Daphnia pulex: one gene and its partners. The protein of the gene in region 1 purifies or fractionates together with the protein of each later gene. This does not show direct contact. Links are inferred from orthologs where the notes say so. Each region holds a gene or a part of one and is shown in the gene's direction. Other genes may lie near its edges.

Region 1 (3,391 bases):
CGTCAGAAGCTAAAACAGTCTTGCCATTGGGAAGCGTGATATCTTGCCCAGCTTTCAATTGGCCGTAGAGTGGTCCGGGTGGGACCCCCAAATCGAAGCACTTTTTCGCAATAAGCGTACCCTGCTTCGCTTGTAAACGGCATACATAAGCTAGAACGGCTTTGGATTTCGGGTTCTCGTCACTTTCATCTTCAACACGAGTCCTTTTAGCAGCTGGAACGTCCTCTAAGAAAATTAATTTTGTTTACATTTCGATTCTAATAATTTGTAACCACTGATAACTCACCAGGATTTCCTTTTTCTCGACAATAATAATTGGTCACATCCTCCTCTTCGATAGGAGAACTAGAAGCTGAACGTGGTAATTTTGCATCATCATTGGGCATAATAGTTACATAATTTAATTTCATGGCAGCATCTTCATAAGATGATGCAGGTGAAGTAGCATCCACATGATTGACTTGTAAATTCTTTAATATGATGAATCTGGAGGCAGCAGTAAATAATTCACCCTATTAAAATTAGATTATGATATTATTGGATCTGCATTAAAATGTGTGCTTAGATGTTATTTGTTTACCAATCCAGGTGGTCCATGGAGTGTGATATTGGGAACACCAACATCTTGAATTGTTAATGAAATTCCAGGTAATCCACCCACATTTTGCCAAGATGTACGGGTGAAGAAAATGTTCTCAACTTTGGACAGCTTAAACTTGTGCTCATGGGCCAAGCGTTGAGATCCTTCTCCGGAATTGAAGAGATAACTAAAAGCAAACAGGAATTAGACTAAAATACTTTTGCTTTAATTTAAAATGTTACCATGATTGATCGGTGAACATATAGAGGGACCGTGGTGCACCACGGACACCAGAACCCAGAACTTGTAATGTTACGGTTCCTGGTGGGTATTTTGTTTTAGTAATCTTCTTTGCCTGTCTTTCTGATTGAAGACGTGCGACATGACTCGTATCTTTCGGCATGTTGGCGAGTAAATTTAACACACGATTTTTATTTTTTATATCGCCGAATACCTTTTGATTAGAATGAAAACTACGTACAGTAACAACTACAACATTTAACAATGCAAATCGCAAATTCATTAGATATTTCTTGATAATCGGGATATTATGGGGCCTAATTAAAATTTACAGGCACTAACTTTTAACTTTAAACACGTGTTGTCATCTAGAGGGTTGAAAAGCAGAATCAAAACACCGGGCTTGGCAACCACGTCGGTTAAAAACTTAATTTGAAACTAAACTGTTTTTTATTTGTAAAATTGAATCAAATAAATTTAAATTTATTATTTGAAAAATAAATCACTTAGAATAAAAGGAGTATTAAATTATTTATGTTTCTTGTTTTTGAAACTGGCAAACGGGCAATATGGGCGCCATTGAGAGTTTGCTTAGGCTCATATTCGTTAACTTGGCATAGAGATTGAGCGTGGCGTCATTGTCGTACCGTCCCTGTCACCATCATCCATTTGTTTCGTTCTTATTGAATCTTTCTTAAACTTGTGTTTCGTTTTTAAATTGATAGTCCTTAATTTTGTCAAGTCCTCCACAAACTTATTGTTATCAAAATGGGCGACAAAGTTGACATGAGCTTGGATGATATCATCAAAACTAGCCGTTCAGCCGGCCGGGGCCGTGGAGGACGCGGCGGTCGTGGTGGCAGTTCTCGTGGAGGCAACCGTAATGCCGGCTCAGGACCCGTTCGTAATCAAAGACAGGGAAATGCTGGGGGTCGTGCTGCACCTTACGCCAAGGTAAATATTTGTTAAGTTATTCTTCTTGTTTTTTTATGTTCTATCAGAAAGTATTGCATAATCCTTGGTTGACTTGTTCGTCTATTTCAAATCCAAGCTAGTCTGTATCTTACAGTCTTCGTGATGCAATAGTGCTGACTCTTTGTGTATGTTATTTTTAGGGCAACCCAGATGGTGACTGGTCTCATGACATGTATGAAGGTGGACCAAGGAAAAGCAATCCCAGGTTGGGTGCTGCACCGAATGCTGCTGGAGGCGGCTCTTCCAAGCTTGTTGTTTCTAACTTAGACTTTGGTGTGTCAGATGCAGACATTAAGGTATAACATATATTGCTTCTCTGTCATGATGAACATGTATTGAATAATTCTATTTATAGGAACTTTTTATGGAATTTGGACCATTGAAACATGCTTCTGTGCATTATGACAGATCAGGCAGATCTCTCGGTACAGCTGATGTTGTGTTTGAGCGCCGTCTTGATGCCGTCAAGGTAAACTTCATGAAACTTGTCAACTGTAGGACACACAGCATCAATATTTGTTTCTTTTCCATAGGCAATGAAACAGTACAACGGAGTCCCATTGGATGGTCGATCAATGGTCATTCAGATGGCTACTTCCGATTTGAACACAATCGCCAACCGACTAACCAGCCCTCGAGCTAACACTAACAACGGGCCGCAACAAAAGAGGACTGGTGCACCAGCTTCCAACAGAGGCCAGAGAGGAGGAGGAGGAGGAGGCCAGCGTGGTCAGCGAGGTGGTGCTGGTGGTGCTCGCCAACGCAATCCCAAACAGCCTGCACCGACAGCAGATGAGCTTGATGCCGAGTTGGAGTCATACAGGAGTGAATTGAAATAACGCAATCGTGTAATGTTCACCAAATTATTTGATTTCTTTGAGTCCACACGTGGTGGATCAGAGGTTGAATCACTGACGCAAACTCCTGATCACCTTTACTTATTCTCCTCACCACCACCACTTTTTCAATAATGTTTTTTCTTTCGTTCTTTTCATACAAATTCAGTGTTTTGAAAGACAAACCTGTCAGACCTGGTTTTAAGACAAAAAAAAATGAAGCTTTCAGCGAAAAACCATTGTTTTTTTATTTGTGATTCCCGAGATGTGTAGAAGCCAAAAGATCTAGTAACGTCCAATTGTATCAAATTGAGTGTATTGGAAAAACTACAAATTTTTTTTTTAACAAAGTCATGTTTATAAAGATTGTGAAGTGCTTATTATGAGCTGCGAAGTGTACGGCGGATTGCTTGACGTAGTTGCTGAGCTACTGCAGCCTCGTTGATGCTGTCGATGATTGGAATTGAACTTCCACGGTAAGGAATTCGTGATGGTTGAGCGAAGGCTGCGGCTTCGCTGTTAAACTTGGTTGGTTTAGAGAATTGGAAACCTGTTTTCGTTACAAATGTTTTGTTACTATTAATTCATAACTATATTTAATTTAATCAGGTATTACTGTGGAGTAGAATTCCGGCTCGGGGGTGAAGTATGAGGTTCATTTCGGCGTTGACTTCTTCCACTGTTGTAATTTCATTAGATGTCTGACCCTGGGACAAATTGGACTCGTGCTGGTCTGCGGCCACTGGTGCTGAACTACCTG
Region 2 (4,249 bases), on another chromosome or scaffold:
AACAATGTTGCTTTTGACAAGGCTGATACACCTCCATTGATAGATGTTGAAACTGCAACTGAAGATACCTCAAACAGTTTCGATGAAGATGTTGCATTAATTGAAGATACACTTCTAATAAGTGATTCTCATCCAATCCCATCCTTGAACGATGTAACAACAAGTACGGAAACTTTTGACATGACTTCAACTGCCGATGATGAAACTATCATAACGGTTGAAACCACCTTTGATGCATTGCGTAAGTAATGTTTTAAAATGTAATTTTGTAATTAATGAAAGTAATATTTTGGTTCATTACTTATAATTTTCAGCTGCATTAAATAATTCAAGTCAATCCATCAGGGACGTCGAATTTACTTCCGGTGATTCATCACTAACAACTTCAGTTTTCGTGTTCATCTGTTGTACCCTTACTGTAGTGTGTTTAGGTGAATAATTGTCATAATAAACCAAAAATTTTCAATAAATACTTGATGTATTAACCTTGGTTAACAGGGGCACAAACATATTACCATTTTCTTCGTAATAATTTAATCAAACACAACATTTTCACAAATGGAGATTTTCTTTTTTACAAAGGAAGGTACACAAATTGTATCTTTTCGCTCACTAGGGCCTACTGATTGAGGTTATATTGGAAAGTGCTGTTCTCTGAACTTGACTGTTACTAGGAACGACCGGTAAGTTATTTTTCTTTGCTTTTGCCGCTGCGGCTGCTACGGCACGAGCAGCTTTCTTGCAAGTGTCATACTTCCAAAGCTTTGTTATTCTTTTTGGGGGATTAGTTTGCGACTTGATGCACGATTCGTGGAATGTTTTTCTCTTGAAATTGTTGTCTGCACAAATAACTTTCCCAAATAACGTGTTTTGGCCTCAATACTAAGTCCACTGGCATAATTAGACAGTGACATAGTTAAACACTAACACTATAACGAACTAATATATAAATAAAACACATCACAACTTCAAAACAACCCCCTTTTCTATCACTATTTTTCAAAAAAATTCATATTTCGCAGAACAAACACAAGTCACTCGTAGCAGACAAAAATACATGAGTTGCTGCGTTGCCACGATGGCAACAAATGTTAAAAAAGATGTCGAACAGCCCTATATGTCTACGAGAAATGAAATGTCTTTTTCTCTGAAACCACTGGCTTCCTAATTCTGTGACTCAATTATTATCTGAATCGTGGTTTAAGACCTGTTTCTACTTCATTAATTCTTTTCTGTATAACAATGTAACTATAACCTGCAAGCAATATTTAAATCACGAATGTGAACAATAATAATTTGTGACTGGGCACAAAAAGTACCATAGGAGCACATAATCTGGCGATCCCGAAAATCTTTATCTATAAAGCGTTGTTATTTAGCTTAGATCTAAGTGTGTTTGTTTGTGTGCCACTGTGCCTATCTAATGTGCAACACAACTGGTATTTCATTACATTTTTCAAAAGATTGCGCAAGAGGGCGGTTGCATCAACCATCAAGCCGAGAGATGGCGCTTCGATCGCACTAAAGGAAAAGGGAAAACTCGCACAGCCGTGAAAACACACATGCGAGTTTCGTTCCGTAAGAGATTGTAATTGACGTCATTAATTGCTATACCATTTGGCAAAATGAGTGTGGACACTTTTGGGCCCAATTCGCAAACGCTCACGTTTCTCGACACCGAGGAAAATGATTTACTTGGGGCAGACACTCAGGGAACTGATTTCGATTTTCGCGATTTTACTTTGCCGAGTCAAACCCAGGCTTCACAAATTGATCATGCCAGCCTTCACAAATCAATGGGAAAACATCAGGTAAGAAATCCTGCCTGGTGAAACTTTGAAAACATTTCTGTAATTTGTGGTCATTTTCAGGCGAATGGGCTGGACACGATTGATTCTCAACTTGCTACTGCAATGAAAAATTTGAACGATCTCCAGTTTGAGGAAGAAGATGAAGAGGGCTATTACAGCAAAGATTTGCCACCACATGCATGCAAGTATTGCGGCATCCATGATCCTGGTTGTGTTGTAATGTGTAATATTTGCAAGAAATGGTTTTGCAATGGCAAAGGTAATACTTCTGGCTCTCACATTGTTAATCATCTTGTACGAGCCAAACACAAGGTAAAAATATTTTAAAAATATAAATCTTAATCCTTGTTTATAATCAAACTCTTAATTTTTCAGGAGGTTACATTGCATCGTGATGGACCGTTGGGTGAAACAGTTTTGGAGTGCTATTCTTGTGGAGTCAGAAATGTTTTTGTTTTGGGGTTCATTCCTGCTAAAGCAGATTCAGTTGTTGTGCTGCTGTGTCGCCAACCTTGTGCAGCTCAGTCATCATTGAAAGACATGAACTGGTTAGTTAAATTTACTGTGCTGTTTGTCATGTGTGGTTTTCTACTAACTTCTTCTTGCTAATAGGGACATTGAACAATGGAAACCACTTATAGCTGATCGTTGTTTCCTCAGTTGGCTTGTTCGAAGCCCTTCAGAGGCCGAACAGATGAGAGCTCGTCAATTGACGGCCCAGCAATTGAACCGTTTGGAAGAGATGTGGAAAGAGAAACCTGAGGCTAGTTTTGAAGACCTGGAACGTCCTGGCGTTGACGAAGAACCTCAGCACGTATTGCTGCGATATGAGGATGGCTATCAATATCAGAATATTTTTGGTCCGCTAGTGAAACTTGAAGCAGACTACGACCGACGAGTTAAAGAAGCCCAAACTCAAGACAACGTTCACGTTCGCTGGGATGTCGGTCTTAATAAAAAGACTGTCGCTTACTTTAGTCTTCAAAAGACAGATAGCGGTAATGCCTAATATTTATAGTTCACTAGTGTCCCTTCTCATATTTTTCGTTAATTCAGATATGAAACTGATGCATGGTGACGAATTAAGATTGCGTTACCTTGGGGAACTACACAAACCGTGGACTGGTTTGGGGCACGTGATTAAACTTCCAGACAACTACAGTCAGTCTAATATATAATAGTAATAATAATGATAATATAATATATAAATAACTATATTTTAGGCGAAGAAGTCGGAATTGAATTAAAGAATTCAAACGGAGCTCCTACAGAATGTTCCACAAATTTCGTCGTGGATTTTGTCTGGAAATCAACGTCTTTTGATAGGTAACATCCGATGAGCTCGTATTTCAAAGAGATCTAGTGACTAAGAAACATGTCTTTCAGGATGCAATCGGCCCTGCGGAAATTTGCAGTTGACGAAAGTAGCGTTTCAGCTTACATTTATCATCGTTTGCTCGGTCACGAGGTTGAAGATGTCGTATTCCGCCTACATCTCCCTAAACATTTCTCTGCTCCTGACTTGCCTGAGCTGAATCGATCTCAGGTATAAAATTTAGTTGTTACTTGATAGAACATAGAACATTCATTGCTTATCTCATAATGTTACGCTTTACAGGTTTTTGCTGTAAAACAAGCAGTTCAACGTCCATTGACATTAATTCAAGGACCTCCTGGTACCGGGAAAACGGTTACATCGGCCACCATCGTGTACCATTTGGCTAAACTAGGATCAGGGCCAGTATTAGTTTGCGCTCCGTCCAACATTGCTGTTGACCAATTGACTGAAAAGATTCATCGAACTGGTCTGAAAGTGGTCCGTTTGTGCGCGAAATCCAGAGAGGCCATTGATTCACCCGTCTCGTTCTTGGCCTTGCATAATCAAGTTCGATGTCTTGAAGGGTAAGAATTTACTTTGCGAAAATGTGTCATCGTGGGGCTAAAGTTAACTTCTATTATAGAGCTTCAGAGTTGCGAAAGCTGGTCCAGCTTAAGGAGGAAGTCGGTGAGCTTTCACAGGGAGATGAAAAGCGATACCGCATGTTAAAGCGACAAGCAGAACGAGAGCTACTCGAAGCAGCAGATGTATTAGCGTGCACTTGTGTTGGTGCTGGTGATGTTCGCTTGGCTCGCATTAAGTTTGCATCTATCTTGATCGATGAATCAATGCAAGCTACTGAACCTGAATGCATGGTCCCTGTCGTCCTAGGAGCAAGACAGGTAAGAATCCCTTGGTATTATGTGTTTTAGATTTTTATTAATTCAATGTTTTGGGTGTTTAGCTCATTCTGGTTGGAGATCATTGTCAGTTGGGCCCAGTGGTGATGTGTAAACCAGCTGCCAAAGCTGGTCTCTCGCAATCACTGTTTGAAAGACTGGTAGTACTTGGCATCCGGCCCTTCCGTTTGGAAGTACAGTACCGTATGCACCCAAGGTTG
Region 3 (4,239 bases), on another chromosome or scaffold:
GGATTTCATGTGGGCTGTTGGCTAAGATGGAACATAAAGTCTGAGTATTTTCTTGCAATTGTGCTGCCAGATTACTTATGTACTCCTTTGCCTCGCAAAGCTCTTTCTTCAGATTATCTATATCGCTGTTACAAGCCTTCAATGCAACTGATTTTTGTTCTAGTTGGTATCTCAAAGAGGTTACTTCCTCAACGGAGTTGCGACAATTGCAAGTTGGGCGTAAATTGTTTGGGGCAGCAACATCGGGGAGAATATAGTCACAGTCGTCCTTAGTTAGGTCTACAACTTCGTGGTTTGCACTATCGCGAGTGACTCGAGCAGTTGAAGCTTGGGCTTGGGCTTGAGCAGCTGGTTTTCCCGAATCCAAAATGTTCTTCTGGTGATGATTAATTAGATTCAGCAATAAAGAACTCAGATTAGTGTCCTGAGCGGTGGGGTTCTTTTTAAGCATCAGGTCTCGGATGTAAGTATCGATGTTGTGCAGATTTTGAGATATCTAAAGAAAAACCAAATCGTTAAAAATCGCAAAGAAATACTGAGGCAACTACAGTAATAAATTACTAGTCCATTTTGAGGAGCTGGCGATGATGGTTCCATCATTTCCATTCGAGATACGACCTCCGTATTTTTTGGCAATACAGGACAGGAAGGGTTTGCAGATTTTGTTTGTGCTGCAACAGTTGGTGAAGTTTTAGCAGGTTCACCTTTTTTCAGAATCAAAGTCTTGGCAGCAGGTTGTAGCATTTTTAATGGTTCAGCTACGTTGGTTTTGAGGGCTGGATCTGTTGAAGAAAAAGCTTTACACTTAATAGTCGGAGTCGAGTTTCCCGCGAGTTTTGGTTGTTGCTGGAGTGTCGTGGAAGAAGGAGGAGCTTGGATTTGCTGTACAATCTTTCCAACATTCTTTTGTACGATGTGAGGCGGAGTATTTAATGATGACTTTAGCGTTATCACGGTTCTCGAAGTTTTATCAAATGCATCTTTTCTCACAATCAAAATCTTGGAGGGAAGTTTCACGGTGTTTTTCAATGGTTCAGTTACTCTTTTAGGAGCATTGCTATCTCTGCTTTTTGGCGCAATTTTGACAGGCGTCGATTTTCTTCCTGAACCTTGACCGATTTGACTTAACGATAAAAGCTGCAGAAATTCGTTCTTTGAAACAGATGGTGCCAAAGGGGTAACTTTATCCGTAGACGCAACAACCAAATTTGCCTCGACGTGTTGTTGTTGAGCGGATGGTCCGGAAATTATCAGATGACCGTTGGATACTGTTGGTGAAATGCTTGATACAGGCGGTAGAGTATTCGACATATCTTTAACTTCGGTTGTGATGGAGTCATTTCCTGATGTGTTGAACTGTTTACTAATTTCACTTATTCGCGTAAACGACGTGTCGAAATGATCCTCAGCAGAGGGTAGTTGCATATCGATTGATTCAATTTGATTTGCATTTGGTTCAGGCAGCACCTGATTTTTAAACATTGTTATTATTTGGTGAAGTTCTAGGTAACAAAAAATTGTCTATACCTTGTTTTTTTTATTATTCTTTCTTAATAAAAGAGCTGCTTCTCTCTCTGCTATTTTAATTTTTGCTTCTCTTTTTGCCTTTTTTATGGCAAGTCTCTTTTTCTTCCATTTCTTTTCTCGAATTTTTACCTCGATGTCTTTGGCTTTTTTCTCTGCTTTCGTGGCTTTTTCAATAGCCTTCTCTTTTTTCTTTTTAAGTATTGGTAGACGACGACTACGCCTCTGACTCAATAATCTTTTTTTTTTAACTATACATGAATTTACAACATTGTAGTCAAAGCAAAGGTTGAAAAAGGTGATAATGACTTAGACACTATCGTACCTGAAACAGTTGTCTTCCATTGGTAAGCAGTTGGTGGCACTGTTGACTGACAGTAACTGTGCTCTTCTGTGGGGGGTGGAACAGGTATGATTTTTGGAATCGGAATGTTTAAACTTGGCACCCAATCCACACCTACATCAGGTTTACCTATATAGATATTGAAATATGATCAAATTATTTTCACACATATTCTATCTAACATACCTGATACAAAATGTTTTGAGCAAACTAAAATTGGTTCTCTTTCCGTATCAGCTTCAGTAAGACCCAATGCTTTCAACCACAAAGAACGTCTCTTTTGGATTAATTGTTTTGTCAATTCACACATAGGCCCAGCTTTTACCTTTGGGATACTTGGCATACTAAAGTATTTTTCATTTCCGTTACCCGATGTAACAGATGTGCAATATGGACTCAGAAAACATCTGTTACGAGGTCCCATCTTAAAGACGATTGAATATTAACTAAATATTCCTTTTATTGTTTTCACAGTTTCGGAGGGAGTTTGAGTTCAGTTTAAGTTGTAAACAAAAACCCACAACAATTAATCGATAGTGGAAAAAACTCGATAATCGATATATTTCCTCGTGGCTTCTGCTTTTGCCAGAAGATTCTTGTCTTAACTTGCAGTCTTGCTCTTGCACCACAGTCCCTTGCAGAATTATTATTTAATTCGCTGATAAAGTTCATCTTCGTTCGCTCTATTCATTCTTTAAAATCTCAATTTGTAAGACTCTGTTAAAGTTCAAAATCTCATTCCCATAATGTCATTTTCGGTGATAAATGTCGTTCGAAACGTTTCACGCCATGCGTTACCGGCGTCCATGAGGTCTATCCTGTCGAAACCCATTACCAGGTCTTTGTGGTACATGTCTAATCCCACAAATCAATTTGTCCCAACAAAACTTTCTCCAGCATTCAAACATACTCCCCTGAGCCCTTCCTGCCCATGTGGAGAATGCAGAGGAGTTCATACAAGAGGTAATACATTTTAACCATTTCACGTCACATTTAAATACAGCATAATATATGTTGCATCATAGGGGACAAAGAGCTGATTGAGTTCCTCTCAGAGGAAATTGCTGCTGAGAAGAAGGGAATGAGCAAAGCCAGGCCTGTCGCTAACTTGGATGGATTTGATGTTAAACACAATGGTTCAGAGATAGTATTGTCTAAGAAATTTAATGATGAACAGTGAGTAAATCTTTATGGGACAATTCTAAATTGAAACTTGTGGCTTAATTTTATTCATTAAACAGAATTGAGATAACAGTTAACGTCAACCATTCTGTTGATGCTGACATCAGTGAGGAAGTTGACAACAAAGCTGACAATCCTCCCCAGGCTGAAATGAAATCAAAACCACACTTTGAAGTCAAACTAATGAAGGGAAATCAAGTAACCAGATTTGCCTGCAGTTACATTCAAGATGCAGGAGAGCCTGTTGAAGATGCCCCAAGTAAGTGTTAATTGTATTTGAATAGCCAACAATATAAATAACACTCGATTTTTTCAGATGACATTTTCACTATTGATGAACTTGCAGTATATGAGGACAAACATAATGATCAGACTTATGCTGTCGCTGGAGACATTCTTGATGGGGTATATTTTAAAGTCAACAATATTTTAACCAAATTAAACTGATATTTCACATTTTCGTTATAGTACATGTACGACCTTCTGATGAATCTGCTCGAAGAACGAGGAGTATCCAACGAATTTGCTGAAAAGCTGAGCGATCTAGCTACCAAGCGGGAACACCATCTATTTATTAATTTGTTAGAGAGCCTTCAGTCTTTTGTCCAAGGCAAATGAAAGGTTTAGAATAGTTTTGAGATGAAAAATAAAAAGCTATGTAGTCATTTTGTTTAAAATGCTGATTTATTATTTATGGTTTTCCAAAACAATGGTTATTTAGAACCATCAGGGGTCTTAAATTCATTTTCAGTCCCCATTACTTCTTTTTCTATTTCTTTAAGGTCAATATTCTGTTCCTGGATTGCTTTCTAAAACAGAAAAGAGTAGATAAACATCTATAAAAGACAGAAATGTTGGACCAAAATTAACTTACCCTAACACATTCACGATACACCTTAAAGAAAGGACCACATGAGTCTGTTGAATGATCCCCTCTTAAGAATTTTTCTGTGAACCATGTGTTGAAACATGCATCATAATTTTGCTTCAATTGGCTACAGGCTTCACTTACACTATTCATGGTACAAATTTAACCTAGAAAAATAAAAATACAATAATCAATTAACATACTTTAAGAGCTTTGTGTGTCCCACACTTGTACCTTTGAACTGTAGATGAAGATTGGGCAGGATAAGCAGAGATCATTAACAAATTAGAGCACTTTTCTTGATTGAAAATTTATTCAACAC

What was found.
Region 2: the proteins of THO complex subunit 4-like (region 1) and regulator of nonsense transcripts 1-like purify together in Homo sapiens (co-immunoprecipitation; 3 studies listed by BioGRID and IntAct, with this or other methods). This does not show direct contact. The link is inferred for Daphnia pulex from reciprocal best matches to the Homo sapiens genes ALYREF and UPF1.
Region 3: the proteins of THO complex subunit 4-like (region 1) and complement component 1 Q subcomponent-binding protein, mitochondrial-like purify together in Homo sapiens (affinity purification with mass spectrometry; 3 studies listed by BioGRID and IntAct, with this or other methods). This does not show direct contact. The link is inferred for Daphnia pulex from reciprocal best matches to the Homo sapiens genes ALYREF and C1QBP.

What each region holds. Positions count from the first base shown.
Region 1 is NC_060025.1:2,695,794-2,699,184, reverse strand, and holds THO complex subunit 4-like, read left to right. Parts: upstream 1-1,380; 5' UTR 1,381-1,588; coding exon 1,589-1,774; intron 1,775-1,935; coding exon 1,936-2,091; intron 2,092-2,150; coding exon 2,151-2,264; intron 2,265-2,328; coding exon 2,329-2,634; 3' UTR 2,635-2,867; downstream 2,868-3,391. Other genes in the region: ribonuclease Z, mitochondrial-like, read right to left, coding at 1-225, 287-512, 581-767, 823-1,103; uncharacterized protein LOC124203100, read right to left, coding at 3,012-3,181, 3,248-3,391. UniProt on the Homo sapiens protein: Functions as an mRNA export adapter; component of the transcription/export (TREX) complex which is thought to couple mRNA transcription, processing and nuclear export, and specifically associates with spliced mRNA and not with unspliced pre-mRNA.
Region 2 is NC_060017.1:7,855,814-7,860,062, reverse strand, and holds the start of regulator of nonsense transcripts 1-like, read left to right. Parts: upstream 1-1,446; 5' UTR 1,447-1,625; coding exon 1,626-1,811; intron 1,812-1,871; coding exon 1,872-2,123; intron 2,124-2,186; coding exon 2,187-2,359; intron 2,360-2,423; coding exon 2,424-2,809; intron 2,810-2,867; coding exon 2,868-2,972; intron 2,973-3,034; coding exon 3,035-3,137; intron 3,138-3,197; coding exon 3,198-3,357; intron 3,358-3,429; coding exon 3,430-3,713; intron 3,714-3,772; coding exon 3,773-4,031; intron 4,032-4,093; coding exon 4,094-4,249. Other genes in the region: uncharacterized protein LOC124197441, read left to right, coding at 1-241, 315-439. UniProt on the Homo sapiens protein: RNA-dependent helicase required for nonsense-mediated decay (NMD) of aberrant mRNAs containing premature stop codons and modulates the expression level of normal mRNAs.
Region 3 is NC_060026.1:13,819,476-13,823,714, forward strand, and holds complement component 1 Q subcomponent-binding protein, mitochondrial-like, read left to right. Parts: upstream 1-1,467; 5' UTR 1,468-1,527; coding exon of another isoform or gene 1,528-1,775; 5' UTR 1,776-1,849; coding exon of another isoform or gene 1,850-1,996; 5' UTR 1,997-2,053; coding exon of another isoform or gene 2,054-2,291; 5' UTR 2,292-2,613; coding exon 2,614-2,830; intron 2,831-2,892; coding exon 2,893-3,043; intron 3,044-3,108; coding exon 3,109-3,308; intron 3,309-3,365; coding exon 3,366-3,454; intron 3,455-3,517; coding exon 3,518-3,667; 3' UTR 3,668-3,726; downstream 3,727-4,239. Other genes in the region: uncharacterized protein LOC124203752, read right to left, coding at 1-496, 562-1,467, 1,528-1,775, 1,850-1,996, 2,054-2,291.